Linked DNA regions of Neurospora crassa OR74A. The protein of the gene in region 2 binds, or shares a complex with, the protein of the main gene of each other region. Links are inferred from orthologs where the notes say so. Each region holds a gene or a part of one and is shown on either strand. Other genes may lie near its edges. The genes, in order: NCU02781 and arp2.

Region 1 (15,985 bases), on a different chromosome or scaffold from region 2:
TGTCTAGTCCACCGCGGATCAGGCCAAGCACTCAGCCAAAAACGATACCCCCGCATGGCACTTTTACGACCAAATCTGGATTTCACTAAGGGTGAGCTCCAAGTTACTTTTGCCGGCGACATCTCTTCGTCACCAGGTTTACCCTCCTCGATATCGGTCCCCCTGTCCAAAAACCCAAAGATGTACGCCCCCAAGAAATCAGGCATGTCCTCCCGCGTCTGCGGCGAGGAAATCACACCCCAAACATACGCTTCAGCACAAATCAACGACTTCTTCTCGACTGTCCTCGGGGTACCGTGCGTGCTGGCCAGGTTCCCGCCGGGTGGGCAGGGGAAGGGGATGACGAGGCATGCCAAGGCGCATTTACAGAGACATCAGCATCAACAACCACATCCTGCAGTATCCGTATCAACAAGGTTGACAAAACCAGCAATGATGCCGGGCGCTTTCCCTTCGCCTAAAGCAGTAGAAACGCCCCCGTCGCCACCGGATTCGGATACCGAAAGGTCAGCGACTCCAACTCAAGAGGCTCAGGGTCCAAAACCACGAAGGATACTGCTATCGAATGAAAGTCCGATTTTGGCGATTACGAGTACCAGCGTCGATGCCTTGAACCAGTCCATCGCTTTACTTAACCCATCGGTATCGCAACCGATTTCGGAAGCGGTGTTTAGAGCTAATCTTGTTTTGTCCCCTTCACCTTCAACCCCTTCCGCTTCACCTTCCAACCCTTTAACCCCTTCGCCTTCCCCTTCCACCACTTCAAAACCAACACCAAAACCAAAACAAAAACCGAAACAAAAACTAAACCCCTACGAAGAAGATACCTGGTCTTCCCTTACCATTTTTAACTCTTCTTCTTTTTCTTCTTCTTCGTCTTCTTGTTCTACCCCGTCTTCCTCAGGCTTTCAAACAACAACAAAATTCCAAATGCTAGGCTCCTGCCGACGCTGCCACATGGTCTGCATAGACCAAACCACGGGATCGAAAACCGCAGGAGGCGAGCCCTTTGTGACACTAAGTAAGACGAGGAGGTTTGAGGGGAAGGTGTTTTTTGGTGTGCATATGGGGTTGCAGGCGGAGGATGAGGAGGATGGGCATGCTGAAGATATAGAAAAGGAGGGGACGGGGATGGGGATGGGGACGGGGACGGGCACGGGGACGGGGACGAGAAGCATGGGAGGAAACGGAAGTGTGGTGAAGGTTAGGGTGGGGGATGTGGTGAGGCCTTCTTATTTGTGATACCTGGGGTGAGTTGTAAAGATTGGAGGGAGTCGGAGGGAGTGGGAAGACTTTTTGAGGTTAGGGAAAGAGGTTGGAAGTCAGAGGGAGAAGTTAGAGGGGAGAGGGGAGAGGGGAGAGGGGAGAGGGGAGAGGGGGTGCTTGGGATGTTTGCAATGGATGTTAGAGGTGCTCAAGGATATTACTTCACATGAGATCATGAGATACATCACGAGAATCGTTAAACAAAATGAGGAAACTCGCTCTTTCCTCCCCGACAGCTTTGCCTGACTGACTGACTGACTAACTGCTCAACTCAACTCAACTCAAATCAAGTCATGTAATGTCGCAAACACATAACACAAGTAAGGTACCTCCACCTATTGTGGAATATCCAGGCAGTTACCTAAATCATCCACTGTGTTCATGTAACCATTCAGTAGAGCAAAATAAGACCACACCAGTTTCACAGTCCTTATACAAGAGTACTGTCTATTAACTCTATCAAAGATGATTAAAATAATCAATTCATATCATCTGACCTATGGTAGTATCTACTTTACACTTTTTTTTTCCCCCATAAATAATGAAAATTGCGAGGTCCCATGGTAAGTAGCCCACCAGAGCTTTAAGTACCTATCTTGTCTTTAGCTTTTCCTTTGACAAGTCTAGGTAGGTATTGTCTGTCAGTTATTACCTACCTATGTACCTACCTACGCACTATGGTATTGCTTTTCAAGCAGCCAGCCAGTTTATTTACCTACCTACCTACCTACCTACCTTACTTATATCATATATTCTTAGGTAGGTACTTCTTTCTTAGGTAAGGTAGTTAGTGAGTAGTTATTTACGAAGCAAGCACGCGAGGAAACAAGCACGCGAGGAAACAAACAAACAAACATCATCCTTCGCATTACAATAACCTACTACCTCTACCTAGACTACCTAGACTAAGGTACCTAGCTAGGGTAACGGTGGTTTTACTTACTTACTTACTTACTTACTTTTTTCATTTGTGTACCTATCTATCTATCTATCAATGTATGAAGAGAGAGAGAGAGCCGACTGACAAGAAGTAGTATACTTCAACTTTTTTTTCTCAATTTCAATTTTTCAAGTTTTTTTTATCTTTATTCTAGAGAGCTAAAAAAAAAAAAAAAAAAAAAAAAAAAAAAAAAAAGAAAAAGGCAGATGGACACAGAGGGACAGATAGACAGATAGATACCTTACCTAGCCAGATAGGTAGATAAAATAGACTATACCTAGCGAGCAGCTGTGACGGAACTTGGAAACTTACATAGATACCTAAGTCCCAATGGTATTCGTGAAGGAAGAAGGTCCTGCCACTATAAAGCCCGGGCCGCGCGTACGTGTCTGAGGAGCGGGAGATGATGGAGTTATATAGGTACCTAACTACCTAGTGATGTAGATATCATAGGTAGCATTTCACGCATCTCCAATTCCTTCAGTGCTCATTCGTGTCTTTTCACTCTCGTTCCAGTTTTGAGACCCATCTATTTTGGGTGCCGTCACCAGCTAAAGCTATGTACATTGAACACACCCACACACAACCAACTCACTCATCCACTCTCATCCACTCATTATCAAACTACCTATTACATGGAAAAAAGTGTATATATGCATACATACATAACTTTGACGTTCTTTATGGATACTTTGCCCCCATCACATCTGGGCATGTTCCATTTTCTCTCTTTCTTCCCTTTTTGGTTCCCCTACGCTACGCTACCAACTTTCCACATTCTCATCTCTTCCATAACTCACGCACTCTTTGTCTCCCCTGTCGTCGTCGTCGTCGTCGTCCTCGGCTTCCTCTCCCACCCAGTCTTCAACAACCTCCCCACCTCAAAGACCGGCAACGGGTGCGCCTCGGTATTGAACACGACCTTGTCCAGCGGCAACAGATCCTCCGGACTGAACAACAAATAAAAGTACTTGAGCGTCTCCGCCATCCAGAAGCTCTCCATGTTATCCTTGATCACAGGCGGTATGACATTTGCATTCGACAAGCTCGTAAATCCGCCGCCATCTTCGACAGCAGTGTAGTTGACAAACGACTTGAACATGTCCCACCCCCACTCGCGGTACTTGACGTCGCCCGTGATGCGGTACATGTAGAAGAGGGACTCGACCGTTTCGGGCCGTTGGAGGTTATGCGCGTCCATTTGATGGACTTCATAGTCCTTGCGCCAGGTCGCATCAGGGCCGGCGGGGTCATCGAAAATGGAATCTGGTGGGCTGGTGTGCGAGGAGGACTCTGGCAAGGGGTCCGAGGGGATCTTAAAGTAGGTGATTTCCGCGGCGAGGCCCGTCGCCATGTACCGGTACATGCCCCAGCACGTCTGCATCAGCTCGCGGGCAAGCTTCATGTCGGCCTCACGCTGCTTGTTCCAGAAGCCGGGCTTCTTGCGGGCTTCGCGCTCCGAGAGGCCTTCGGTGGCGGCGAGCGCAATGGTTCCCGGGAGGAAGCAGACGAGGTGGTCCATCTTGGGAGACAAGTTGCCCTCGAGACCCGAGGGACGTTCGCCGACAATGGTGAACCCGCTGTTCTCAGTGTAGGTGACTAGGTGCTTGCGGATGCCCTGGAGAGCGTCGTTCCACATGTCTTGGTAGATGGGTTCGGCCTTGTGGGTTTGCAGGTACTGCTTGATCAGGTATTCGTAGTAGGAATCGCCGCGCGAGCCGAGCCGGATGTTTTGGGTATGAAAGTGGCCGGTGCTGGGCTGGATGAAGATGGGCACGAGGCCATCGGGGGCTTGGTTGTCGTCTATCACTTTCATGACCTTTTCGGAGCGGTCCCAAAAGTCCTTTTCGCCTGTTAGGTTGGCGAGGTACTTGAATTCGAGCTGGAGGGTGGTGGCTTCGGCGGTGGAAGAGGCACCCATGTCGGCGTGCGAGGGCAGGCCCTGGAATTTACCGAGGTTGACGCTCGCGTAGGGAATGCCAGAGGGCGTGTCGAAGGCGGACATGAGGCGGTCGGCGAGGTCGCGGGCCTTTTCGAGGTAGAGGTCCTCGCCGGGGGCGCCCACATCGTCATCGGAGATGGGCGCTAGGTTCGGGTACTCGGTGCTGAGGTAGTAAGCCGACAAAAGACCGCCCATCATGCGGATGGTCGTCTCAAAGGTGTTGACATCTTGATCCTGGTCCCAGGTCAACGACTTGGAGATCCACTCGCGAGCATGAGTAACCCGCGAGGTCAAGTTCATGATCATCAAGGTGTCTAACGAATCGATAATGATCCAACCCAAACCCTTGGGGGCCATATTGCGGCCCGTCTTGGACACGGGGTGAAACTCGTCATAACCTAGTCACACAAGTTAGCCTTAACCGATAATCACAACACCAACCCTTCTTCAGAAACATACCCCAGGCATATCTCTCATAAGCATCCCAGCTCAGCTCCATAGCCTCAACAACCCTCTCCCTCCTCTTCAACCAATCCGCCTTACTCCTCGCCTTGGTATCCGAGCTCAACCACCCCCAATCGCCCAGCTTCGCCCTGGCTCGTTCATGATGCTCATCAAAGAAGCCCGTAAACCACAACAGCCCCAGCACCACCAAGGTAAATAACCCCAACACCCTCTTTTTCCTCAACAGTGGCCTAGGTCTCGCTCCTCCGGGGCCGTACCCATACGGCTTATCCTTGTACATGGGTAATGACCTTCGATCCGGGTTTAGGAATCCTCCCACTTTATCTTGTACTCCCCCTAGCACTCCTCCTGCTCCTGCTGATGGCCCTGCCCGTTGGCGGGTCGCAGCAGCCCACAGTCGATCTTCAGCTTGGCGCGCCGGGTCCGTAAACGACGGGACGTGTCGTGGGATGGAAAAAGAGGCCATGTCCCCTGGATCTTCGTATTCTTCTTCTACTTCTGTGTCTTCCTCGTCGTATGTCTCTTCCGCAGCAGCAGGAGCAGCAGCTGGCAGTAAGGTGCCCTGCTCTAAATCCGCCTGTGACTGTGACTGTGACTGGCTCTGAAAGGCAGTGTGGTCAAGCGCCCTCTCGACTTCCTTTGCGGCGGCTTCGACGGCGTCGCGGGTGCGTTCAGCGGCCTGCTCAGCGAATTCGGCGGCTTTGGCAGCGGTCTCGACAGCCTGCTGGGCGGCTTTCTCGGCACGGTCGCGGAACTCGGTGGCGGCAGTGGTGGCGGTTGCGCGGAGGATGTTGATGGCGGCAATGGTACCGGGGCGGTTGAGGGAGAGGTTGTGGAGGTTGAATGGATCGCGGACGCGGTTCATTGAGGAGGAGGAGGTGCCCTGGAGGGGAACTGAACCGTTGGCGCTATAGAGGTACCTAGTTGGGGCAGTTTCATTGGGGGACGGCAATGTCTTGGTAGGTGTGGTGCTGTTAGTGCACTTTGGGCCTTGAATAGGTAGGTAGGTGGTGCTGGATTGAGACAATGGATTATTAGAGGTAGGTTGGAATCACCACAGTAATGTAGACAGACGTATTAGTTGGTCATTAGGTAAGTACGTAAAGATAGGTAGGTAGAGGTATGGATTAAGCAAGAGCTGGCAATTGTATAAATTCCATGGAATAGATGGAAGGTAGGTATTCACACGCAAAAGGGAGCAGCCGTCTCTCAAATTAAAGGCCCTTCTTGGATTTCCCCCCAACTTTGTATTTCCCAAATTTGAGCGGTCAAGCTGCACAAGGAAGGAGAACTGCGGCGTGGACCTGGCATGGAGCTGTGCTTCCATCCCTTCGTTCCATCACATCCGGCCGCTCTTACTTCCACTTCTGGAAGTGCCTGACATGTGTTTGCACATGTGTACCTACCTACCTACATAGGGGTTGTATATTTATAACCTGCCAACGGTCAGATGTACGTACACCAGCCGGATGCAGAAGTTGTGGTGATTGCTTTCATATTAGCCCCGAGATAACGAGAATCATGCAAGAAACCAAGAACCTTGCTGACCTCTTACACTAACTACGCAGTACACAGTACAAGTACACGACGCCAAAAAGGACAGCTTGAGCTTGGACGCGTCAAGTTCCCTTGCGACAGTTGTGGGGCCCCGCTGTTTGTACAAGTCTTACAGGGGGCCAGATTCGCCAGGGTTACGAGTGTGGTGATCTGTCAGGGTTGGGTCTGTCATTAATTACTCCCGGCGGTCTCGCAAACTTCCATCTCTAGGTAATGGTTGGCGTTTATGTATTGAGGTATTGTGGAATGCATGGAGGGTATATTTTTCATGCATATGATCATAAATGAAGAACATGTGAACAACCACAATACCTCTAACTTTGAGTTACGACCCCTTCCTTATCTTATCACCCTCTCCCGTCCGTCTCGTCCCGCTCACTAACACCGTCCCGCCCGGCCGTGACAATCCAGTTCCACATGCGGTAACATCGATATGTATGTCCCAATTTCTCCCCCATCCCATCCTTCACCACTGCACCACTCAGCAGACCGCCCACCGTCTCACCATATCACAACCACACACCTCACCATTACCGAAAACACTCTTGATCAAAATGTACTCCCTGGAAATCCAAAACTACCCCCACCTCACCCCCTCCGAGTTCGCCGAGGCCGCCCACCACCTCGACCGGCGCTACAGCCAAGCGACCCTCGGCCCGCTCCGGCGCCAATGGAAGCTGCGCGTGCGCTCGGCGCTCAACACCCACTTTGTCTCTCCTTCGGATCCCGAATACAGCACTTTTATCCAAATCACGAGACCGCTCGAGGTCAATCTGGATGATGATGGCTTATCCGAGTTTTTGGATAATTTGTGTTTTTCTGAGGGGCCAGCAGCGGTAAGGGGGGATGAGCGGGAGGGGGAGGGTGTGGTTGGTGTGAGTGAGGGGATGGAGGTTGAGGATGATGATGATGATGAGGTATGTTTTCTTAATAAAAACAGTGGGTTGAAGGGGGGGTGGGTGTGGAATGCTGATAATATGTGGTTTACTGGGGGAGAAAAGGCCATGGTTTTGCCTTCTAAACATCAACAACAGCAAAAGACAAGTTATGGCTACGTCACATACGAAATACACCTTCACCCGACATATCAAGCGCCTTGTCTGTGGTTTTCACTAAACGGACTGCCGGCGGATGAACCAGCCTTCAACATCGACACCGTCTTTCGACGTCTTGTACCCGATCAGTTCAAAGATGGACTTCGCCGCGCGGGTTCCGTGGGTGGTATCTCAGCTGATGTAAGTTTTCTCTTCTCTTCTCTTCTCATCTCATCTCGTTCTTTGTATTTGTGTCTTGCGATTTGGGTGGGTTCAATCTTCTCGCTGTTGAAACACCAAAAAGTTAACTAGGGCTGAACTCCTTTTTCTCGCTCTTTGTGACTTTGTTGTGAAACATAAAGATATGAGAAGGACAAAAAGAGAGAGAAAGAGAAAAAAAAAAGGTGCCTATACTAACACACGAATGTCCCTTCTTTTGAATTATTTCGGCCATACAAACAGTATCATCCCATCACAGGCCTTCCCACCTTCTTCGTCCACCCTTGTCTCCTCGGCGAGGCCATGTCGACCTTTGACAATGTCTCGATCGAGAACTACCTGATGGTTTGGCTTGGACTCGTCGGCGGCTGTGTCAGCCTTTGGGTCCCCAAGGAAATGGCCTTGGAGCCTTCCTCCGCCTAGAGGAAGTGGGAGTAGCGCGGTGTATGTTGTACATGCAGCTAGCGGTGCGTCTTCTGCATTGTCCTTCGAGAGGGCGAATTTTTCATCCATCCGCTTCATTGCGCCTTCATTTTTCGTCATCCTTCCCCACCGCGAGCTGGTATCTTAAACAAGAAGCAAATGCCATAGTGGACACCCATCAGTCCTCGTCGCTGTCTTCCTCCATAGCAACGTCCGAATCGCTCTCCTCCTCTTCTTCCTCCTCCTCCCGTGGCCGCTTCGTTCCCCGGTTCTCCTCTGCCGGTGTGGTTGTCTCCGTCCCGGGAGGCTTGGCTGGCGAACCTTGTGGTGCTGGACTCTCGGTATTCGTAGTAGGGGCGCCTGGTACTGGGGCACTAAAGATACTCTGTTGGACGGTGGTGAGGGCCACGGCGGCGGCGGCCTTGGGTGGCACGAGAGTACCGTCGAGTTTGGCGATGATGTTGGAGCGGCCCTTGGCGTAGGTGATTTTCTAGGCAAACCCAAGTTAGCATGTGAAGGGCTACCGCTGAAATATTCAACCCGAGAAGACCTACCATTTTGCGGCCCAAAAACTCCATGCCGTCAAGTGACCTCATGGCCTGTGTTGCTGTCTGAATGTCCCGGTAGACAATGTGTGCTTGCCCGCGCATCTTCATGGTCTTGAGAGCGACGACATCGAGGACGGGGCCGTAGGTGGAGAAGAGCATGTATAGTGCTGTACGGAGGTCGTCCTTCTGGATCTTAGCTGAGGGGAGGTTCGTGACGTAGAGAGTCTGGTTTGGCGGGTTCGAGACCACCTTTTGGGGGAGGCCCGCGGGGGGAGCAATACGCGTAGCCATTGCCGCGTAGGAATCCGGGAGTTGATGCTGTTGTTGTTTGTCCAATGCAGGTTGTTAATTGTCGCGTAGATTTTCAGTATATCGTAGGCGCCTCGTGGTAGGGGTTAATATCGTCAATTGTCTCGTCGTCGTCGTCGTCGTCGCTCGGGTGTATGATGTTCAGTGTTCAATCATGAATTCAAGTCGCGGCGGCGCATGCGATGTCGACAATTCAGATGCTGGTCCAAAAATTGGAGACAGTGGCCAGCCAGCCTACGAACCATCGAAATCGGTACACAAACCCCACGGGCGTGGGTGCAGCTTGTTGGAGGTACTGCGGTTGCGAGCAAAAGTAAAACCCCCTTGTCAGGTATCTTGCACGGACCACCACAGCCAGAGCTTCGTGAGCACTGTGTGGTCGACGACCTGATCCACGGGTTTAACTTACCCATCTCACCATAGTAGGTTCCAGTTCCAGGTGGGTCAGCCCCGGCCGGCAGCAGGGCACTCTTGGCGGCGTCACCCACCCGCAGCCAACCCCACCACCATACGCTGCCGCAACGGTGCCCCTGGAGCCTGGCGGTCTGACCTCATTTCAGGCGTCCAGCCCGCTGTAGTTACGGAGCTCTCCCGCTTCCCGTTCCCGGGCACAGCTTCCCCTTTCCAATTACAACATCCGGCTCCGACACCACCGAACCAAGACATTCGATCACACTCTCCGTCATCACCGTCCCCGATTCCGAGCGCGGTAGTAGAGAGCTATACTCCTATCGCATACCTTATTTCTACACAACACCAACCTAACAACCCACAATGGCTGCTCCCGAGGTCCACCATCTCTTCCACCACCCCATCGCCGACCACTCCTTCTCGGCCGATCGCCAGACCTTGGCCATTGCCCGCGACACCCAGGTCGAGCTCTACGGCAGAGTCGGCAATGCCTTCAAGCTCAAGGATGAGCTCAAGGGCCATGACAAGCTTGTCACCAGCGTCGACATTGCTCCCAACACCGGGCGTATTGTGACCTGCTCTCAGGGTAGGCCCCCCCTTTCGCAACCCAGGCACCCCATAATGCCACCATCACAGTCAGCTAGACTAACAACCAACCCCAACTCACAGACCGCAACGCCCTCGTCTGGGAACCCTCCCCCACCGGCTACAAGCCCACCCTCGTGCTCCTCCGTATTTCCCGCGCCGCCACCTTCGTCCGCTGGTCTCCCTCGGAAGCCAAGTTCGCCGTCGGCTCCGGCGACCGCGTCATCGCCATCTGCTACTTTGAGGAGGAAAACGACTGGTGGGTATCCAAGCACCTGAAGAAGCCGATCCGATCCACCATCACCTCTGTCGCCTGGCACCCCAACAGCGTTCTTCTTGCTGCCGGCTCCACCGACGCCCACGCCCGCGTCTTTTCCGCCTTCATCAAGGGCACCGACCAGCGCCCCGAGCCGAGCCCCTGGGGCGAGAGATTGCCTTTCAACACGGTCTGCGGCGAGTTCCTGAACAACTCTGCCGGATGGGTGCATTCTGTTGCCTTCAGCCCGAGCGGCGACGCTCTGGCGTTTGCGGCGCATGACTCCTCCATCACCGTCGTCTACCCCTCTGCGCCCGAGCAGCCGCCCAAGGCGGTGATCAGCATCAACACGCAGCTTTTGCCCTTTATGAGCCTCTTCTGGAACGGAGAGACTGAGATCATTGCTGCGGGTTACGATTGCGAGGCTTTCCGCTTCCAAGGCGGCGAGCAGGGGTGGCAGCTGGCCGGCACGCTGGAGAAGGCCAAGGCCGGAGGAAGACCGGGTCTTGGTGACGAGGACAGAGAGGAGTCTGCGCTGAACATGTTCAAGCAGATGGACCTGAAGGGTAAGGTCAGCAAGGATGATACCATGTTGAAGACGGTGCATCAGAATACGGTTACTATGTTGAGGCCCTTTGAGGAGAGTGGTGGACGGGTGACCAAGTTTAGTTGTGAGTGTTCCCCATTTTTACATGACCTGTGGTTTCAAGAATTATTGATGCTAACTTGACACAACAGCGAGCGGTGTTGACGGCAGAGTCGTCATCTGGCACACCTAGATTTCCCCTCGATGAAAGAGGGTTGCTGCACACATTGGGAAGCAGAAAAGCCAAGCAAGCAAGCGTAACATCTAATGTTAATGGAACAAGAGTGAATGGCTGATAATGAATCAGATTCAAAGTCAAGATCCATCAATGTCAGTTTAGCGGGTAACTTTCCCGGTCTTTGATTTCTGCCCTATCCGTGCTTCCCGGTATCCGCCAAAGTGATTGATTGTCCATTCACCCATTGTACAGAGACTTATCATGTCACTTCTCCACAGTGAGCTATCCGTTTGTCATGACCGCCCGGCCAATTTTGCAAGATATGTATGTGTGAATCAGACACACAGTCAAGAACAAATACAGGTTCAATACATACAAAGCAATTCATTGACTTCCGCTTGTGGCTTGCCGGACACATTCCGATTTGCCGTGATAACTTCCATAAAAGGATCATAAGAGAACTAATAACCGGCAGCAGGAGAAGTGCATGTCACAATTCATGTCCATACCTACCATTGTTTTGTCCCTGTCGATTATTTATTCCATATCCTTTCGCTCCTCATCCAGACCTTCAGCTTCAAAAGCAGTTTACCATAAGTAATCAGCCGTCCGTCACTCCGTCCCTTTCAGCTATCCAAACAAACTCAACTTACCTCGCTTTGCCTCCATCTTCCCTGCCTGCCTACTTCGTTGTCTGGTTAGAAGAAGAAACAGCGGGATCAGAAGAACCAAACAACAACAAACTGAACCATGGACCACAACAGTTCCTACGACTACTACCCATTCAACCACCCCCAACACCCTCTGTACTTTAACCCCGTATCTCCTGTTCATGTTCCTCCTCCTCCTCCTCCTCCTCCTGGTCATCCAGAACCAGAGGAACAAAAAGACTACCACCACTACGCTCCCGCATCACCAAGCGACTTTATTTACAACGCCAACTCCTCTGTCAACACCACCACCGCCGCTAGCATCCTTCATCATCATCATCATCGGCATCCTTCCCGCTCTTCTCGATCTTTATTCTCCAACGAGCCAGTACTCGCCTATCCACCTCGGACAGTGGGGTCTAGGTCTGTTGAGCAATCATTTTCGAATTACTTACCTGGGGTACTGGAACCAAGTCTACCACGACCAGCACCAGGTTTCGAGGAGCATCGACGCCAGCGGCAATCAACGATGATGACCATGGGGCCGGGACCAAGTAAATCGGTACCTTCTCCACTGTCACTGCCCCTCAGTAGGGAAGGAGGAAGAAGTGGTAGGAGGAGGATGAGCGGGTTCAGTTCCGGTGAGGAGACAGTGGTGGTGATTAAGCGGGAGGAGGAGGAGGAGGAGTCGGTTCCTTGGGTGTCGATACCGTTAGAGCAGAGGGTGAAGAGGTGGGTGCCGCGGGTGCCACAGGGAGAACAGGGAGAACAGATGAAGCAGGTGGAAGAAGATGCGGTGGGAGGTGTGGTGGGAGGTGTGGTGGGATACGTGCCCCTAGGGACGGAGGAGAGTGGGGTCAGTGGTAGTAAGACTTGGGAGGAAAGGGGGGAAGGGGTGGTAATGGAGAGGGTTATGATGGTGCCGTCGGTGGTGTCTAGCGTTGGTGCCAATGCCGGTGTGGAAATGGTGGCAGGGATGATGGGTACGGCGATGGGAATGGGAATGGAACCAACAATAACGCCAAAGATGGGCCTGTTCAAACCCATCAGGTGGGATGGACCGTCTTCTGCTTCGAGGGCTAAGGCTAAGGCAAGGAGGGTACGTGCCTGGGAAACCATGGAAGAACAACATGGTGATGTTCATCTTCGACGGACTCCTCCTGGAATTCAGAATCGAAGCAGCAACAGAGACCGAAACGACGAAACCGAAGACGAAAAAGTTTCCGACGCCCCCATCTCTCCCCATTCTCGCTCCCCAAAGAGATTCAAGACCTCCTCCTCCCATTCAGGATACATCCTTCGTCCAGGTCCATGTCCAGCAGAAACAAAAACAGACACAGAAATAAAGCAAGAACCAAGCCTCTCACCTCCACCATCCGCCGTTTTGGCTCAGATTCCCATGTTTGATTCCTTCGATTCCCTTCCACGCAACAACAGTGGCTATGAATCCTCCGGTCATGACGACAATTCCCTTTCTTTGCGAAGTATCAGCCCTTTGACTCGGGTCCCGACACCTCATCGTGTGCTGTTCACTACTACTACTACTCCGAACCGGATCATGACTGGAACTGGAACCAGAGAAACGACCCAGCCTTCATTGAGGGCGGTGAGTAAGCAGCTGAAGAAGAGGAATCGGGAGATGGCGCTGGGTCAAGGTCACGGGCGGGAGGATAATCGAGAACGGAGTCGTGAACCAAGAAAGAAACGAAGAGAGGAGGGGGCGTGTTGGGGTTTACCTGGCGGTAGTCAGAGACAGACTCCAGCTCAGGGTGCTAACTCTGCTGCTCAGCAAAAACAACAACAACAACAACAACAACAACAACATCGAGAATCTTCCGAAGGGAGAGAACAAGGCTGGACAACCATCTCGGGCAGCAGTGAAGAAGGGGAAGCAAGCAGTCATTACGAAAACAGTTACAGTTATAGCTTTGGTCAACAGGAGAGGGATAGGGATGCCGCTGCTGCATCAAGTACGTCTAATCCCCTTTCTTATACCGATCAGGAAGAAGAATGGTGTCGCCCTTTTTCTTTCTCATCGTCGTCATCGTCGGCCGCACCCGTCTCTTTTGAGACCTCAGCGAGATATGATCATGATTATGAATCCGCTCCTCCGTCACTGTCGGCCTCGCAGGAGAGAAGAAGAACAGAAGAAGAAGGATACCGCCAAGCGATACAAATGGCGCAAGACACTTGTCTTGAGGCTAGCAAGAGGTATATCAGGGCTCATTGCGCGAATAGGGGGGCTCGCGGGGGTGGTAGTCCTGACACTAGTCCTGCTCCCCGCCAAACTGTCTCGACACGGTCGGCCCGCAAGGCAAGAAGGAAGCGTAAGCTGGAAACCCGTCAGGCCTCTTCCTTTTCCTCCTCTTTCTCATCCTCCTCACCTTCAACTTCACCAGAGGCACCAGCACCTTCACGGCAGCGACGCAAAGGTAAAGGTAAAAGCAAACGACAAAACCGAACCAAGAACCGAACCACCACAACCTCTCCTCCCTCCTCTTTTAACTCACCCCATCACCAGTCCCCACCTCCCCCAGACATCCAAATAAGAAATTCCCTCCTCCCCAACATCTCCCAAATCTGCACCCTCCTCTGGTCGCGCTCGCAGTCTCTCCGACTGCACGACACCGACAGCATCGAGTTGCATACCGCGCGCAACATGTACTGGCTTTTATCGTGGGCGGAAACCGTCGCTTTTGCCGTTGTTCCACCTACTCTCGCTTCCATTTCTACTTCCACTTCTTTTACTGCCTTTACCGTCCCAGACTCAAAGTCAGACCCAGATCCATTCGATTCAACTACGACCATATCAGTCGGTTCGTCGGTCCCCGGTTTCGATGGTTGTTCTTCTTCTTCTTCTGCTGCTTTGCGGCAGAGGAAAAGGGAGTGGGACAGGGAGTGGGAATGGGAGGGTTTTGGGGAGGGGGTGAGTGAGGAGGGGGATAAGGCTGAAGAAGGGTTGGAGAGCAAAAACGGGAGAGCGGTTTGGGAACAGCAACGGATAGAAGAAATGATAAAGAGGGTGTTTGACGAGGGAGGCATGCTTTGTGAGTTTCTGGGGTATGGGGAGGGGGTGGAGAGGTTGGGTAGGGTTAGGGAGTTTTGTGGGGTTTGACGGAATACATTCGTGGACTTGGGTTTGGTTCCTACCTACCTAGAATTGGTGACCTTTTGGGTAAGTACCTAGTATTTCTAGGTCAAGGATGGGATTTGGATCTTGAGCATTGGATAGACGAAGTTTTTGAGATACATGTCAAAAGATCATCGATGTGGTAAATGAAGATAGCCTGATGAGCATGTGTACTTCCCTTCGGGGCATGGTCCACAACGTGGTTGCCTCGTGGTTTGTTTGGTTCCTGGTGAGAAAAAGGAAATATGTCTCGTGCTGTTATTTGACAGCTTCTTCTGCTGTATTAATCGTCTGTCTGGCTCTTGGGTAAACCTTCATGGGCCTGGTGGGCTTGGCATGTGTGACCCTGGTTGACACTTTTTGAAGCGACAAGTGTGGGTGTTGCTGTACATATCTTGATACATAGGTACCCTTTAGTAATGACGGTAAGGAATCGATAAGGTAGCCGGGAAGAGCGGGAATAATCAAAGTGGAAACCCTAAGGGACGGATATCGAATAGAGAAAAAACCAAAAACAAAAAAGGGGGCGCGCATTATCACAGACTGGAAATTGGGATGGTCCACAAAGTATCCAATATTGCCATGATAACCTCAACCTAACTGAGGAAGAGCTGAAAAAAGATGACCCCACTGGAGGTGGAGCCCACACGATAACCCCACAACCCCACGGCGGGTAGTCGAACGCTAAGAGCGCTGCCCTGAAGTAGGTGGACCTGTCCGGGGCATGGTTGGCGGGATCCCGGGCCTCCATTGTTACAGTGGATGTGGTTTCCCCCAGAATTCCCGTCCCAGGCAGGGCAATCCCCCGGAAGGATGGGAAAATGTTGTGTTCAGTTGGTTGCTCTTATTTTTCAAGATGGTATCATCTTCGACCCCCCTTCCTTGGACCTTCCAGTCTTTGTCACCAATGAGAGACGGACTCGCTCACCGATCACTCGCATTCCCATTCATATGTCCGCCCATGTTACATCCCAGAATCGACCCCACGGACCGTCACCCAACAGCCCTGAGGCCGCCCGGGGGGGGGGGGGGGGAATGATAAGCACTTCTCTTCCTGTTGTGGCACTGGCCACGGCTATGTGCTGCAGTAGTGTAGTAGTATCAGGTAGTGTAAGCTTAGCTGACATTCGATGACTGCCCCTGCCTCTTTTTTTTCTCTTTTTTTATTTTTTTTTATCTATCTTTACATTTTCCTCCTTTCTCACTCAGATATCATCCAAGTTGAATTACTAAACACATCAACAAGGACTGTCACGCGACCACACTCCACTCACCGAATCCTCCATCTCACCCGGCGACGATAGGACGAACGGCTGTGATAGGGACGCGATGATATTGGGCGCGTATCTGGTGAGAGGATGAGACCTTTACAAACCGACCAGTCGCCTCTCAACCGACAATAACCACAACGACAACGACGGAAGCATGAAACCCAAAAAGCGAGACAGCATGCCTAGCGACATAGAAATGGCCGCTTACGGCAGCA
Region 2 (16,188 bases):
GATCGTGAAGGGAGGGGAGATAGGGACCGTGATCGGGGTGACAAGGATCGTGGCGACCGCGGGGACAGGGAAAAGGGGGAGAAAGAAGGGGGCAGAGATCGGGACCGTAATTCGGAGAGGCTGGGTGACAAGTTGGGATTGGGAGACAAGGACAGGGATAAACACAGCGACCGCGATCTAAGTTCCATGTACGACTTTGACGGCGCCGGCGACTCACCTGTCCCTTCTCCTCTGTCAAGTCACACCAGGAAGCTCGGCGGAGCCAATACTACGGCCGGCAGTGATAGGGCTTCTACCGCCCGCGACAGCGTGCCTCCCCGCGACACACCCTCCAAGGATTCCGTCCCTCCGGAACCCAACACCAGCACCACCTCCAACGGCACCACTTCCGCAGGACCTACAACAGCAGGCGCCACCCAACGCGCCAAAGTCATCTTCCACAAGGGCCAAGACGTAGTCTTCAAGCCCAAAGCCTCCCCGGCGTCGGGAAACGAAACCACCGAGTGGATGCTGGGACGCGTGCAACAAGTTTCGGGCGAGGGCAAGTCTCGTCGGTATCGCGTGCAGGACGCCGATCCCGATCTGAAGCCGGACGAACGCGTCGAGTACCGCACTTCTGCGTCGAGCATGATACCCATTCCCGCGGCGGGAGAAGAAGAGAAGAAGCTGCCCAAGCTGGAAAAGGGCAAGGTGGTGTTGGCGCTGTATCCGGATAGCACGACATTCTACAAGGCGGAGGTGATGGGAACCGAAGCCGAGGGCGAGGGAGAGGGCAAGCAGAGGGTCAAGTTGAGGTTTGAGGGAGAGGAGAACAGTGGGACGCTGCAGTTAGTGGAGAGGCGGTTTGTGGTGGAGTATAGGGCTTAGAAGGCTGATGTTGGGATGAGGAAGACGAGGATAGAAGACCTTTTACGCCTGAACTTTCGGCTCAGCGACCTTGAACTCGGTGAGGATGGTTCGGATGGGCACGACTCTAGGGAAAGAAGAGGTATTGGGGCAATGACAAGGGCACGGCAATATACATATGGGTTGCTCGTATGCCCAGGGATGGGTTGGAGATTTTGGTATTTGGTGGTTATGCGCAGGATACGACATACGGAACAGGCATGGTTTGTACAAGCAGCGAATACACCCAGCGGGCTGTTTAGAATACTGGATATATCATGGTGGTATCAACAATTCATCCGATCCATGATGACGAGTGTATGTCTAGTTTCGGTGCGGTTCTCTGCTGTGGCCAGATTTAATCAATGAGTGCTTGTCTTTGTTCCAGTCCCGCAAACCTCATCGTGGAGCGAAGCGAGGTCTACACTACCTTTTTCGGCAGAGGCCGCCGAAGGCATATCGGCGGATTGCCCTACAAGAACAGATGGAAGCCCGAATAGGTAGGTAGGTAACAAGGGGATTAGGTAGGTATATATCCATTGGTATTATTCTTGCCTATAAATATCCCATATCTTCCCATTCTATCCATCCATGGTGGTTGTTCAGTTGTCTTGACCCAGCTGCCGGAGATAAGTTGCTGGGTTCATTTGGGGGAATGGGGGAGTCTGATTGCCGGAAAGGTCACGGCAATCAATTCTCAGCATCGCATCGCTTCCCGTCATCATCATTTTGAATTTCCCGGTGGATCCCGCCAGTGCCCACTGCAGACCACTAAACTACAGGCCCCTCCCTGGTCGTGCCACGCCTGGCTCGCTGGAGGGAAGCACGGACCCCGCTGCAGCAGGAAATGGCAATTCCCGATCTGGCCGCTGATTGGCTCCTTCCTCAGGGGCATCAAGGAAATGGGGGAAATATCCTCGACACGGAAGAAGGGCCCTGTTCCCTTCTGGGATTAGCGACCAGACAAGCCAAACACGCAGTACCGTGCTGAGCGACAGAGACGAGGACTTTCTCTCCGATGCCTGGCCTGGCCTGGCTTCATCAAATCTCCCAATTCCCCTCCCCTCCCCTCCCCTCCTCCCTCCTGAGCTCCGTCCTCCTGACTGACTGACTGACTGACTGATGAACTTTTGCGCTTCCATCTTCTGTTTCCATCTCACTGTTGTGGCTTGGCCCTGTTGACTGACTGCCGACTGTCGTGTCTCCGTCTCCATTCCCTTCTCTCCCACTCCCTCCCCTCAGTCCGTCTGACTGCCCGACATTGGATCAACAAGCCTGATCGTCTACATCTCCGCCAGGTTTCACCCACTCCACGGCCCACGGCACCACCTGCTTTTAATTAATCTGCTCCTTGCCTGTCGTGAACTACTCTACTACTACCGAGCGATACACAGCCCGCTACCTACACCTTACCTACCTACCCGCGCTGTTTGCGACGACAACGACGGCATCTCTCACACGTGAAGAAGCATCAGACGCCAGACGCCAGACGACATACGCTACTATCACCATTACATACACCCCTTTGCGCCTAATCCAATTGTAATCACCAACACGATACCCCAGGTACGTTCGTTTGTCTGTCTTCACTTCCCCAGGCTACTAGGCTGGTAATTGATGGTTTCGCTACACCATGGCCGGTCGCCATCTTGAAACCTCATCGGTCTCCCCACTGTTCCCTCAACTGTCTCGCCCATATTACATTACCTACCACTACCTCCAGTCCAGTAGTCTACGTGCGCTACCACGCCCCAACCTCTAACAAGCCAGACTAACACATGTTTCTCTCCAGTCCGCTCCTTAGTTCCGCTTCCTGCCCATCGCCAGTCGACAACTCATCATCAGTCCCTTCCACCACCACACTCCTTTGTCGCGATCCGATTGAACTTGTCGTGTCGTCCATAGACACCTAAACCACACCACTCCGGTCGAACTCGCAACCACCCACCACCACCACCACCACCACTCTCACACACATCCACAACCTCTCCCTTCAGACCACCGCCAAAATGGGCAACGTCATGTCCCTCGGCTTCATGGCCAAGCTCTTCGGCACCAAAGAAGTCCGTGTGCTCATGCTCGGTCTCGACGCCGCCGGCAAGACCACCATCCTGTACAAGCTCAAGCTGCAAGACCACGTCACCACCATCCCCACGGTTGGCTTCAACGTCGAGACGGTCACCCTCCGAAACATCAAGTTCAACATCTGGGACGTCGGCGGCCAGGACAAGATCCGTCCCCTCTGGCGCCATTACTACTCGGGTACCCAGGGTCTGATTTTCGTGGTGGACAGCGCGGACCATAACAGAATCGACGAGGCGCGGGTGGAGTTGCATCGGATTATCAATGATCGCGAGATGAAGGATTGCTTGTTGTTGGTGTTTGCTAACAAGCAGGATATTGCTGGTGGTGAGTACTCCCTTCTTCTTCTTCCCTTGGAATTGTATTTTCGACGAGGTGTCCGCTGCGCTCGGCTCTCTTTTTCTTTGCTCGCTGCGCTCGAACTGGGGTTTTTGGGACAAAAGCCTGAGGGGTATGGATGAACCTATGCTAACCAGACATTCTACAGCCATGACTCCCCAGGAAGTCACCGAGAAGCTCCAGCTCAACAAGCTCAAGGACCGCATCTACGCCGTACAACCCACCATTGCGATAGACAAGGCCGGTCTGCAGGAGGGCTTCAACTGGCTGTCCGATAACATGAAGGCTGCCCAGAAGCAGTGATCGATTTCTAACCTCGATCGATTTCGACATCAATAAAACACACACAGGGAGGGCCGCCCGCTCGGTGTCGACGTATGGGATCTGACTGGTTGGCCGGCCGGCCGGCTGTCTAATTACTCTAGCTGGCTAGCTGGCTTGCTCGGTCGGCCGGAAGGCTTCCCCGTCCGTTACTTCCAAGCTTCAGTCCCGTAGATGGATAATGACAACCTCGCTTCGAGACAAGATCGCAAGAAAACCGATACCCCCAATCAGACCGAAAGCCCTGACTCTATAGCGACGGCCCAGGCCAGAAAGAAAGAAAGAAATGGAAGAAGGGAGAGGAAGTTGGTCATGACACATCCCAAGAAATGCTTTTTGTTCTAACGAAAACGGGAGATGTCCAAGCCTCGGCTCGGGGTACGCAACGAACAGAAGGACTTGGCTTGGCTGGGTGGAGGAAGAAAGAGAGGAGGAAGAAGCATAAAGGACAACGAAAATAATCCGTAATTTACCCTAGTCACCTGATTTGTGTTGTCGTTGTTGTTGTTATTTGGCGCGTGGCTTTTGACATCCTTTTTGTTTGGTTAGCACAGAGAGGGAAGCTAGGGGGAGGGGAGGGGACAGTAACAGCTACCTTGGTTGGTTGGAGCTGAATACAAAAGAGAGGTAGAAAGGCAGAGATAGAGACAGAGAGAGACATATTGGTGGTGGAGGCATCATAGGATACCCGGGTAACTTGCTTTTTCTTCTTCCTTTTTTTATACCTAACTTTTTTTGTTTTATAGCGAGCTGCGTTGGTAGTTAGTTGTATGAAGAGAGAAAGAGAGTTGTTGGTACGTATTCATCATGGTCCAAGAGATCTGTGTGCTTCGAGTGTGATTTTGTAAAGTGGATTCATGATGTCTAGAGGTATATTTGTACGCTATATGTCGATACCCGCCGGTTCTATCGTGACTCCTGTTCTCGTATTCCCTCCCATGTTCTTCTAGTCCACGCTGTTCTCATATTCATCAAGTCCTGATCGCATCGATGTCAGGTAGGTACCTACATTTTAGTCTCCCTCGCTTCATCTACACAATCAACCCCCCAAGCATGTAACCATCCTCACACGTCCATGTCCTCCCCTTTCAGGATCTCCTGCTCAGTGACCCCAGCAACTCCAAACAAACCCGGACAAGTTCCGGCGGCGAATCTAGCACCCTCCAAGGCATGCTATTCAAGATCATCCAATGGTTCTAACGGATGATGCTGTCCATGTGTTTGTGCGCCGTCGTCGTGTGCTTGCAGCAGTTTCAAGTGCTCGGGATGAAACACAGCTACCGCTAGCTTGTTCATCTCCGACGCAAGGCGCTGTAGGTTATGGAGATGCTGCGCTTGAACCAGGCACTGTTTCGCTGTCAGAGGGGGGGGATCTTGCGTCGCTCGTTGTGAATTCGCAGTGCTTCCTGTGTGATTTGTCGTAGTTGCTGGACCTGTTTTTGTAGTGGGACCATTTGCGGCGCAATTTCGAGCTTGCGAACTCGTGGTGAAGCCGCTGCAGTTGTACTGTTTATTGGAGCTATTGTTGATGCAAGGTCTGTCCTGTTCCTGGGTGGTCAGATGGTGGTAGACTGGTACCCAGGAATCGAGCCAAGTGATGAGGAATGTGGGTTGGACAGGTACGTCCACTGTATAACTCGATTCCGCCCCAGTCTCTGTCCGCCAAACGTTCTCAGGCTCGGTCAATCAGTCCAAATGGCTACTGACCATCCGGCTTGCCTTCCATGACGCCGTTCAGCTATCCTCGAAGCCGCGAGCTCATTCCCGGCTTGTTTGGCTGCTGCTGTCCCTGCTGTCCCTCAAGGCGTTGCGTGGGATTTCGTCCGCGTCTTTCAATACCAAGACCGTATCCCTATCCCTGTGACCCTTTCATCCTCTTATTCGGATGACTCTGCTGCACCGCCGCCGCCGCCGCCGCAGCAGCAGCAGCAGCAGCATCATGCATCCTTTTCATCCCCGCCATTTGCGCCATCCCCCCATGTCCTTGACCCAACCCTCCCATCCCTTGGCCCATCCCGCCGCCGCCCATCTGTCCGTGTCCGTGTCCGTGTCCATGTCCGCCGATATTCCCCAACGAACCTCCCATAGCCTGAACCTGCGACTGCGCTTGTCCCATCACCAGCCCCGTCCCCGTCCCGGCCGCAGCCGTGTTCACCCGCGACCCACTCTGGTTGCCTGTTCCGGTGCCGAAGCCGATATCGTTGTCGTCCTGCGACACGCGTCTGCACGGGTACGTCTCGTTTTTGAGTCCTTCGAAGCAGTTGGTTGGTGACCAGTTGACTGCTGCTGCTCCTGTTCCTTGAGAAGTGCTATTGGCCGTGTTGCTATTGAGAGAAGCCAGCGGGGTCGAGGTGGGCGAGGTGAAGAAGGGGTGGACGAGGGCGTCGGCGGCCGTCAAGCGTTTCTCGGGGTCGTATTCGAGGAGGGAGGCGAGGAGTTTGTAGCCTTCTGCTCCTAGCGAGGTCAGAGGGGTGGAGACGGTGGTTTGGTGGTACCATTTCTGGAGGTTTCCGTGCGTGTTTTGCGACGCGGGCGGTTGTTGCTGGGAGCGATGGCCGTAGGGGTGGTGGCCGCCGCCGTGGGAGTGGGAGGTGTTGGTCGACAGCAAGGGCGGCTGTAAAGTCGACAACTGGCTATACTCGGGCATGCTGGCTAACAAGGGCCACCGCTCCCTCGTCGGCAGGCCCATTACGTCCACAATCTTCTGCATCTGATGTTTCTGAAACGGCACCGTCTTCTTGCTATCCATCTTGGCCTCCTCCCCCTTAAAGATGGGCCGAAGACTCAGCAGCTCCGCAAAGATGCATCCCACCGCCCACAGGTCGATAGCTGTCGTGTAATGCTTGCTCCCCAACAGCAGCTCGGGCGCGCGATACCATATAGTCACGACCACTTTATCGCCCATGTAGAGGTTGTGGATGGGCTGCTTGAAAACCCTGGCCAGTCCGAGATCGCCAATCTTCACTTCTCCGGAAGAAGTAACCATGATGTTCGCCGGCTTCAAGTCTCGATGTAATACCCAGTTGGTGTGTAAGTATTGCACCCCCTGCAACAGCTGGTACATTATCGACTTGATGGTCCCTGGCGCGATCGGATGTCGTGGCGTTTGCGTGTGATGGTGGATGATCTGCAACAAATCGTGCTCTGCGTACTCGAATACCATGAAGATGCACTTGTCCTCCAGGATAATCTCGATGAGCCGGATAACGTTGGCGTGGTTTCGCAGTTCGGAGCATAACGCCATCTCACGCACCGCCGACTGAGAGATGCCCGTGTAGTTGACGACGGCTTCACCTTCCTTGTCGGGCTTGAACTTTTTGATGGCGAATTCCCCGGTTTGGCCTTGTCGGCCGGTGGCTTTGTAGACCCGGCCATAGGTACCGGAGGAGATGAAGCCGATGACTTTGTAGCGGTCGGTAATGCGGACCTTGGTTTGGTAGTTTAGGGGGCCGGCATTGCTACGCTGGTCTGAGACTGAGGGCGGTTAGTGTCGGACTGGACTAGGATATGAGAGATGAATGGGGGGAAAGGCGATACTGACACCCGCGGTAGCTGGTTTCGGCCTTTTGGTTTCTCGCTCTATTTGTGCCGTACATCATGGGGGGTGATTGTATGTTTATAAGAGTGAGGTTGGTGTATGCAAGGTAGTGACTTGGTAGTGAGAGGCTGGGCAGTCACCGCCCGTCTGTTTTGTGTTTGAAGATGCTCTCGGGAATTTGGAGAAAATAAACTATATAACCGGGCACAAGATACACACTGAAGGGATCATGCTGGGAGGGCTGGATGATGTTTTGAATGAAGGAATTGGATCAAGTTCATCGACTCACATTTCGGTTTCGGAGGCATGTCATCTGAGCCGTACCCGATCTGCACGGGCCCGGGGGGAAAACCACTGTGAGACTCGGGAATGGATGAGCGGAGACGGTGTGTTAGCGTGGCCGGTAGCTGGGCGATGGAAGCCGGGCTTGAGAGTTTGGAGAAATCGAGTAAAGATGGCCGGTGAGGATCTGGGAACACGACAGGTCTGGGGATTTTGACGACGAGCTGGATTGATATTGTTGTCGCAAAGGCAAGAACAAAGTGACACACGAAGGAAAACAATAACATCAATTACCCTTTTCGTCACCAGCGACATGTCAGGCTAGCAGAGATCTGATGATGTTTGCTTCTGTTAGTGTGTCAGCTCTGATAAGCCACTGTATCGCCGCCAGCCTTAGCGTACCGTATCGATGTCCAACAAGTGGGGGTGGACCATTTCACCTTTCCGTCTTCCCGATGTTTGTCCGGGACCGTCCCGTTCCGCTGTCCGCATCTTGCTTGATGTTGGCGCCGTTGTGATATTGGGGACTTCTTTCATGGTATCCCAAAAGACCATGACTCTTGACACAAGGCCATTGTTCGATTTCTCCTGTCGGGACCAACAAAATTACACCAGCCCAAGCAAGCTCTAACAAACTCTCGCATTATCCTTTATTTACCTACCAACGGAAAACATTATATCGCCTGCTATTGTAGTCTAAACAGCTTCACCCTCGGTAGTCCCTTACCTAGGACCCAACTTCTCCAACACCCTCGCGCCCTGTTCTTCCCACTCCTGCTTCGTAATCCACATGCTCTCCTTATCCGCCATGATATTCGCCAGCACCGCACCACCCAAGAAGACCATATGCCTTCTTCTCGGCGGGTCCTCGATCCTGACCTTGAACTTGCTCAGCCTCTCGGGGTTGCCTCCCAGCACGCGCGTCAACCACAGCTGCTTCAGTTCCTTCTCCAGTCTGCTTGGAAGGCCGGGGTACATGCTGGAACCACCCGACAGGACGATCGCCTTGAATAGCGAGGAGCGCACGTCAACATCGGCGGCCTGGATGGTGTTGAAGAGGAATTCGGCGATACCCGGCTGGTCGCAATCCACCAAGTGCGGCTGGAACAAGCACTCGGGGGCCTCGAACCGCTCGGAGCCGACGCGGATGACGCGGCCGTCGGGAAGGGTGTAGCTCTCGACGAGGACGGTGGTATCTTCGGACAGGCGCTTGTCGAGCTCGAGGTCGTACGAGACGTAGCAGAGCTTTTCCTTGATCTGGCGGACGGTCTCGAAGTCGGCAGTACGGTTGAGGGCGTAGCCGCGGCGGAGAAGGAGGGCGATCAGGTTGCGGGTGACGTCGCGGCCGGCCACATCGAGGCGGCGGGTAAGGTGGTTGAGGACCACGGATTCGTAGACAGGAACGATATGCGTGACACCGTCGCCCGAGTCGACTACGACACCAGAGGAGAGACCTGCGCGTTGTCTGTCAGCTACTTGTTTCCTCAAGTCGCCGTGTAAAGGAGCGGTGACATACCCTGAGCATACAATGCCAGCACCGCCTGGATAGCGACATAGACACCCCCAAAGTCGTAGCGCTCAAACATGACTTCGGTCATCTGCTCCCTGTTCTTCAACGGGTTCAAAGGCGGCTCCGTCAACAAGATCTTTCTTCCCCGCGTATCGACCTTCATCTTCTCGTGAAAAGTGTAGTCCCATAGGTGCTGCATGTCGTCCCACTTCTTGACGATGCCGTTCTCCATCGGGTAGCTGATTTGGAGCATGGTACGGGCGGCCGCGGCCTCGTCACCGCACATGATGTCTTTGATCACAATGTCGGAGGAGTCGGAAAGCGATTTGGCTTCTTCGGCGCGGAGAATGGGGCGGCCGACTATCGAGGGGTATTGGAATTCGGGGAAATTCTGGGCGGCGTAGCCGACCTTGAGGAAGCCGGTACCGCCATCGAGGACTGTGTTCGAGGGGGGAAGTGTTAGCTGGGCGCTGTGCTCATTTTGTTGTTGTGAAGTGGAAGTGATTGAGGACGGAGTCCGACGGCTACAGCTGCCATGGCGACGGTGATGACGCGGTCAGGCAGATGGGTGGGTGGTGGTGGTGTTGGTGGTCGTCAAGGTAGCTTGAGCTCGAGACACCAGATGGATAAGGGGTTGTTGGCGGAGAGAAGAGCTGACGTACCAATGGGAGCGTCGGTGTTGGCCATGCTGGGCGGCTGTTTGGTTTGGTAACTTTCAATGGAGTTGCGAATAGCTTCGTCGGGGTTTCGAATATCGAGTGTATATCGGAGCTAGAATGGAAAGCTCCCGCGGGTGAATCAACAGGAACCAAGTGTCGGTGGTCCCGTCGGTCGGTCGGTGCAGTGGTGTCGGTGCCCTGTCCGGGTTACGGTAGCGAAGTGGACTACGGCACCGTAATTAGCTGGAGTCCAGCGCGGTAGCCTAGCTGGGGGGGTAGCATCGATATGTGGGGTCATTCGCTAACTGCCAAGCTTTCCTTCAAACAGGGCGCCGCTCGTCTGAGCCAAAATAAAGGAGACGAGCGAGCAGGCTAGGTAAACCAGTTCACTAGACGTCAAGATCATAGAAAAGACCGCTGCAAGACCGTGACAGGGAATATAACAATTCAAAAAGACCTCAGCTAGAGCCCTATTTACACATTTTCATTCTGTAATTGCCTAGAACTTGAGAGTCAGCAGTATACCCAAGGAGCCAAGGTATCATGTCAAAGGTCTCGATTATTTTGACCAGGACGAGCGCCGATGACAAGCGGGTCTTGGCAGGATTCTGGACCCCAAGGAAGTGGCAGGCATTAGGGTACCCACGTGATACCCCGCATGAGACTCGCACTTGTACCTTCAGTAGTACATGCACCTTGTTGGGCATCGTGAGAGATCAGACGGGATGGATTGTGCATTTGAGAGTGGAGATTGATATTGGTTCTTCCCGTCCCTTCTTTTTTTGATTCTTCATTTGTGGTTATCAGACCCTTTGTTGCCTTATTCTTTCTCACTCAGGCCGTCGATACAATCGGTATTTTACCAACTCATTACGATACTAGTAGGTTGTTCCCATTCAGGTTCTACCATCGTCAATCTTTCAAACTGAGTACTTCATGATACCTCCCAAAATGGACTCAGACCTGACTATTTCCCTCTCAGACCATTTATCGATTCACCTCACTCACTCACCCCCCTTCCTTCGTCAACATGACTACCGCCCAGCAAGAACCAATCAGGATCCTGATCCTCAACCCCAACTCCTCCAAGTCCATGACCGATGGCATGGCAAAGTCTATTTCCAGCCTAAACCTCCCCGACGTCTGTCTTCCCTTCTCTCCTCCACCCCTAATAACCGAAAACGTGGACTAACACCCCCCTCCAGAACATCAAAATCACCTACTACACAGCCCCTACCTCTTGTCCAGCCAGCATCAACAACGGCACCGACCTGGATACCTCCGCCACCCACGTCCTCCAAGACCTCAGCAGCAACCTTCAACTCCTCAAAGACCACGACGCCGTCCTAGTATGCTGCTACTCCGTGCACCAACTCGTCCCCGGCCTCTCGGAACTCGCTTCATCCAACGGCTTTCCCCTCTCCGTCACGGGCATCTTTGAAGCATCCGTCCTCACTTGCCTGTCGCTGCTCACGGGCCCGACGAAGAAATGGGGCATTGTCACGACGGGCAAGTACTGGGAGGAGCACCTGACTGTGGGAGTCAAGAAATTCTTGGGTCAAGAGGAGAAAGGGGGAAATAATGCAAAGTTTGCCGGGGTGCAGACGACGGGGTTGGATGCGGGGGATTTCCATGGAGATATTTCCAAGGAGGTGATTGATGCGAAACTGGCCGAGGCGACCAAGAAGTTGTTGCAGGCTGGGGATGTGGAGTGTGTGGTGATGGGATGTGCGGGCATGGCTGGACTGGAGCAAATCATTCGCCGGACTGCGATTGAGCAGTACGGCGAGGAAAGGGGGAAGAAGGTCATGGTTGTTGATGGAGTCAGAGCGGGAGTTGGGCTGGTGGATGAGATGGTGAAAAATAGGAGAATGTTTACCCAGTAGGTAGGGACGGAAAGGGAGTGGAATTAGCTTTGAAGCTGGAGATTTCCTTTCGAGCGATTTGTACGCAAGTTCGTCGCAGTGCCCCCTGCCTTTTTCCAAGCTCTCGGGGCAGAAGTCACATCGTATATCATAGTTTGTTCTCTCAAGGCTTCATTCATGAATGCAATACATACAGTCTAGTACTGGTTGGTCTGTTAGTTCGAGACCTCGTGTCAACTTTCCTATGCGTTTTCATGGCTAACTAATGTACAATCTAACCTTGGGCACGCCATCTCTAACATTCAAAATGCCAAAGCAAATCCAACTAACTCCTTTTGATTTATCCATATAACCTTTAGGACTATTCGAAGTAGATTTTGTCTAGTACACTATGAACTCCCCCCTTATGCAACACCAATAGCACTATAGTAGGGCGGTGGTGGTTCTTGTTCTGCCGGTGCTGTGCGGGTGTTCGATAGCAGCAGTGGTTTGTCGGGTGATGCAGAAACGGGTTTCCAAGTGATGATGTAGTATCCCATGTCAAGCGGCCAAACAATCAGGAATATCAAGAATACCAAACAAAATGTTGTGAGCTGATACCGCCGAGTTTTGTTGTTTGCGTTCGGGAATTCCGTTATCGAACGTTCACCGTGCATGGCCGTCCATATCATCTCCGATCTGACCCAAAATCTCAGGATACTCAGGGCCAACCAGACAATGATGCCCGGAATGATGAGCAGAAGTTTGAGGCCAAATCAGGTCGTAGCCGGGATTGTAGATTCGCTGGCGAGTGGGCACTCGATCGCCAGTGTACATGTGCAGTGTGTCGCGAGGGTAGTCATTTTGGAACCTACTACCATTATATTAGAAAGGAGTTGGGGAGACGGCGAAGTAGAGAGCAGAATAGCAAGCGAGAAGCATACCTCTTGGTTCAACGACAAAGGACGACCGCTTGGTTTGACAATGACAACGATTGGAGCGGCGGCTTGGTTTGGTTGACGGCAACGAGCGGCGACTTCAATGGTTTGGTTGAACGGCAACGAGCGGCGGCTTGGTTTGGTTTGAATAAGTGTATTGAGTAGTGAAATGTTGTACTAGAAAAAGTTTGGTTTCCGGGAGAAGAATTTGAGACGGGGATACGATGGTTCAAGTACCTGTTGGGAGTGCCCGGGTCAGGTTCCCTGTTTCCATGCTTTCATCCTTGTGACAAGTCATTCTTTCCGCACGAGCGAAGCTCACTTCTGCAGTTGCATAAGCTGGTTCGGACGTCCGAGGTTACGGTTGCCGAGTTTAATGCTTACCGATTGCCAGATTGGCGGTTGGTTATTGCCTTGATAGTAATTTGAGATAGAAGGTGGTAATATTGTCTTGCTTGTACAAGGGAAGTTCACTTCCGTTGTATTATAGAAATCCCTAAGTATACTCTGAGCAATGCACGAAACTCTGTCCTCCAAAACAACACGCAAAAGCACAGTACAAACGCCCAGCTTATCAACTCACCACTCAGTCCACACGCCTAGTACGTCCCCAAACCTCGTCCGCGTTCGCCTTCCCTTTGGTCTCGGGCACGATCCTCACGATAAACAAGGCCCAAAACGCCGCCAGCCCTGCAAAGATAAAGTAAACCCATCCAGCGCCTCCCAAAATTCTGTTCAGAGCCTCATTCACCACTGGGAACCCAAAGGCCACCAGGAAAGTAGCAATATAACTCGCACCCAACGCCCAAGACTGCGTAGCACCCACCGCCTCCTCACCCACCAGCTCGCTCGCCAGGATAAAGGGCACTGGGCCCAGCCCGACCGCGAAGAAAGCCACAAAGAACAGGGCCGCTATGGCGGACAAGATCTTGACGCCGAACATGATGGAGAGAGCAAGGACGAGAGACGACACGCCCTGGCCAATGGTAGAAGCCAAGAGACAAGCCTTGCGGCCGAACTTGTCGGGCAGAGGCGAGCAGGCAGTAGTAGTGCCTAGGTTGATGATGGAGATGCAGATGGTGAGGAGGCCCGAAGAAAAAGAAGGCGGGAGCAGGTCGCGGAAGAGGGAGACCGAGTACATGATGATGGAATTAATGCCGCAGAGTTGTTGGGCGAACATGATGCCCACCACGGCAATGATGGCGGGACGGGTATTGGGATCCTTGAGAACCTGCACGAAACCGAGATGGGGTTTGCTGGCCTTGTGGGGATGAGGACGCGAAGAGGTGGAAGGGGATGGAGAGTTGGAGCGAGAGGAGGTGTCTCTGCGCGACAGGCCCTCCATGCGGTCCTCGACACTGTGAAGGAGAGATTCCTCCTCGCTAGTAGGTCTCCCACTTCCCTGGCCCCATGACTCGACTTCCTCGTCGATATTAGCGTTCTTGCCACGGATGCGCTGAAGTGTCCTCCTCGCCTGCGCGACATCGCCCCTGGCGCTCGCTGTCCACTTTGGGCTCTCTGGCGCCAACAGCAGTCCGAATCCCTGAGCAGCTGCCACCACCACTCCAGATCCTAGTATCCACCTCCAGGCCGAATCGTGACTCAAGAAGTACCCCATGGTTTGCGAGATCAAGATGCCGAGGTTAATGCTGATTTGGGTAAAAGCACCAAATAATCCTCTCTGCGCAGGAGGCGCGATCTCGCTGATGTAGAGGGGGACAATGACCGTGCTGGCACCGGCACCGACACCGGTCAGGAAACGGCCTGTCGAAAGCACGGGGACGGAGTGGGAGAGGGTCTCAATGAGGGAGCCGACGATATAGAAGGCGGCTGTCAGCTGCATGGAGAGCCAACGGCCTCGAGAGGAGGTGAAGGGCCCGGCCATCAGGGCGCCGAAGAGACCGCCGATGGTGAAGATGGCGGAGACGGTAGCAAACTGGGGTCGGGTCATGGGGATGCAGTCGACATCGCTCGAGGAGTTCTTGACGTAGGACAGCAGGCTGGAGATGGTCGAGGAGATGGAGGTTTTGCGGCAGGTGATGACATCTTCGGGGGCGTTTAACTCTGCCTGGAAAGATTGTTAGTAGAGATATGTCGGGCTTGGAAAGGAAGGGGCGCATACCAAATGGAAACCAAACTGAAGAGGACCGAGGGTGCTGACGATTATCAGCACCACCAGGTACATCGTTAGGTCGCGGAGGTTGGCGGCCATGTTTCTGAAGATGGCCCGCACGACGAGGAACGCGGTAAAGACTTTGAGGCCAATCTTGAATGGTAGTACTCCAAATTTGAGTAGAAATCTCAACTAGAGAAGGGTCATGGTATCTCAAGAGATGATAGGTCTAGTAGGTTGGTGCAATGGAGGAGATGGTGGAATGATGGTGTTGCCGTCATGTTGGAGATTCCGTCGTGTCTCACGATGGAAGTCGACAACAAGGAATAACGGAAGGTCGCTGGAATGGGAAATGACAGGGGACTTGCTGTCCCCGCGCCGCTGTGGGTTGGGCCTGCCAAGTCAGCGGGGAATGGGCTGGGGATCCTGGCGCTTACAATTGAAGTATGCATCAGGAACTGTTTTCGGTAATTTTCCTAGCCGCTTAGACATGGCCCAATGCCAAATACTTTGCAACATGATGGATGAGAGGACTCGATATGCTAGAATGAACAATCGGGAATTGTAATGGGGAATTGTTCTTTTGGGCAGCGAGATAACTCGTACCAAACTGACAGTGGAGGCACGTACCTACCTCTATAAACTTCGGCCCCTACTCAGCTGGATCGTCGGCGCCGGTCTCTGAAAGGAGCATTGATATGGTGCTATTTTTGGAAGTACCTGTTAGGGGATGTGTACAAAACCGTTGTACGCCCTAACATGCGACGGAGAGAGACAGCCAGCACTATGTGTTTAGTACCTCGACGCACGTTATATGACCACGCGGGCGGATACAGTCGATATATATACATCCAAGCGTCTGCTGTCGGATTATTGTGACCTCTCTACATATCACAATATACTAGCCACAGCCTTCTTCCAGTTTCTTGGCTAATTCGGGCCAGATACCTAAGTACCTTCCAATTAGACTGTCCATGTCCGGTTTCAGTTGGTTTCCCGGCCACTTCTACGGTACGTAGGTAGGTAAGTATTGACCTTTCACTTCCACTTGGGATAGGAACTTGGTGAGCGGAAGGCGGGAGTAGGGACGGACGGTATATTACTACGGCAGACTTCAGTTGTACCTTCCATTCCGATATGCTCAAGCTTCTCTTCTTCCCCCAACTGAAGTCGACCATTGTGCGGTCTCCATTCGGTTTGCTTCTCCAAATCAATCAGCATCCGTCATGTTTGATGTTTCATTTTCCACCTCAAGCCTCACACCATGACCGCCATCGTGACAGCACATGCGCGCTCGCTTCAACAGACGACATTCAGAACTACAGTAGCTGACACGACCCCTCTCGAGTCTCGAATTCAGTTCTGGAAACCCCGAGCCACTGAGGACATGCTTTCACCCGAGATGCAAGGCCATTGGGTAGCAGCGCGCGCAAGTGCCCGGCATGTCTTCCCACACTGCAGCCCAGTCTGCTGCAGCCCAACATGGTGGTCGACCAGGAGGCCTGCCCGGAGCCTGCTTGGCCAACATCCACCTACTATACAGCCAGCCGGGGTTTATCATATGTATAGGTAGGTGGAGCGCCCCGTCGCCATGTCCTCCCACGGTGGAACACTTACTCACAAGTCCAAGTTCAGGTGTCTAGCATCTCGTCTCTGAGAACACGCCGCCATCGAAAA

What was found.
Region 1: arp2 (region 2) and NCU02781 share a complex: the UniProt entries of both Saccharomyces cerevisiae proteins name them as parts of the arp2/3 complex. The link is inferred for Neurospora crassa OR74A from reciprocal best matches to the Saccharomyces cerevisiae genes ARP2 and ARC40.

Annotation. Positions count from the first base shown.
Region 1 is NC_026501.1:9,211,577-9,227,561, reverse strand, and holds NCU02781 (hypothetical protein), read left to right. Parts: upstream 1-9,253; 5' UTR 9,254-9,477; coding exon 9,478-9,700; intron 9,701-9,783; coding exon 9,784-10,626; intron 10,627-10,693; coding exon 10,694-10,734; 3' UTR 10,735-11,025; downstream 11,026-15,985. Other genes in the region: NCU02777 (molybdenum cofactor sulfurase), read left to right, coding at 1-1,242; gh47-1 (mannosyl-oligosaccharide 1,2-alpha-mannosidase), read right to left, coding at 3,003-4,546, 4,608-5,478; NCU02779 (hypothetical protein), read left to right, coding at 6,725-7,087, 7,172-7,405, 7,667-7,846; NCU02780 (U2 small nuclear ribonucleoprotein B), read right to left, coding at 8,025-8,336, 8,401-8,685; NCU02782 (hypothetical protein), read left to right, coding at 11,470-14,484; NCU02783 (general amino-acid permease GAP1), read left to right, coding at 15,925-15,985. UniProt on the Saccharomyces cerevisiae protein: Functions as a component of the Arp2/3 complex which is involved in regulation of actin polymerization and together with an activating nucleation-promoting factor (NPF) mediates the formation of branched actin networks.
Region 2 is NC_026505.1:6,350,321-6,366,508, forward strand, and holds arp2 (actin-6), read right to left. Parts: upstream 9,848-16,188; 5' UTR 9,645-9,847; coding exon 9,620-9,644; intron 9,396-9,619; coding exon 8,964-9,395; intron 8,902-8,963; coding exon 8,171-8,901; 3' UTR 7,788-8,170; downstream 1-7,787. Other genes in the region: NCU07174 (hypothetical protein), read left to right, coding at 1-867; NCU07173 (ADP-ribosylation factor 6), read left to right, coding at 2,895-3,294, 3,455-3,609; stk-8 (serine/threonine-protein kinase prk1), read right to left, coding at 5,480-7,095, 7,169-7,226; NCU07170 (hydantoin racemase), read left to right, coding at 10,647-10,757, 10,822-11,502; NCU17050 (hypothetical protein), read right to left, coding at 11,886-12,152; NCU07169 (MFS glucose transporter), read right to left, coding at 12,985-14,466, 14,521-14,610. UniProt on the Saccharomyces cerevisiae protein: Functions as ATP-binding component of the Arp2/3 complex which is involved in regulation of actin polymerization and together with an activating nucleation-promoting factor (NPF) mediates the formation of branched actin networks.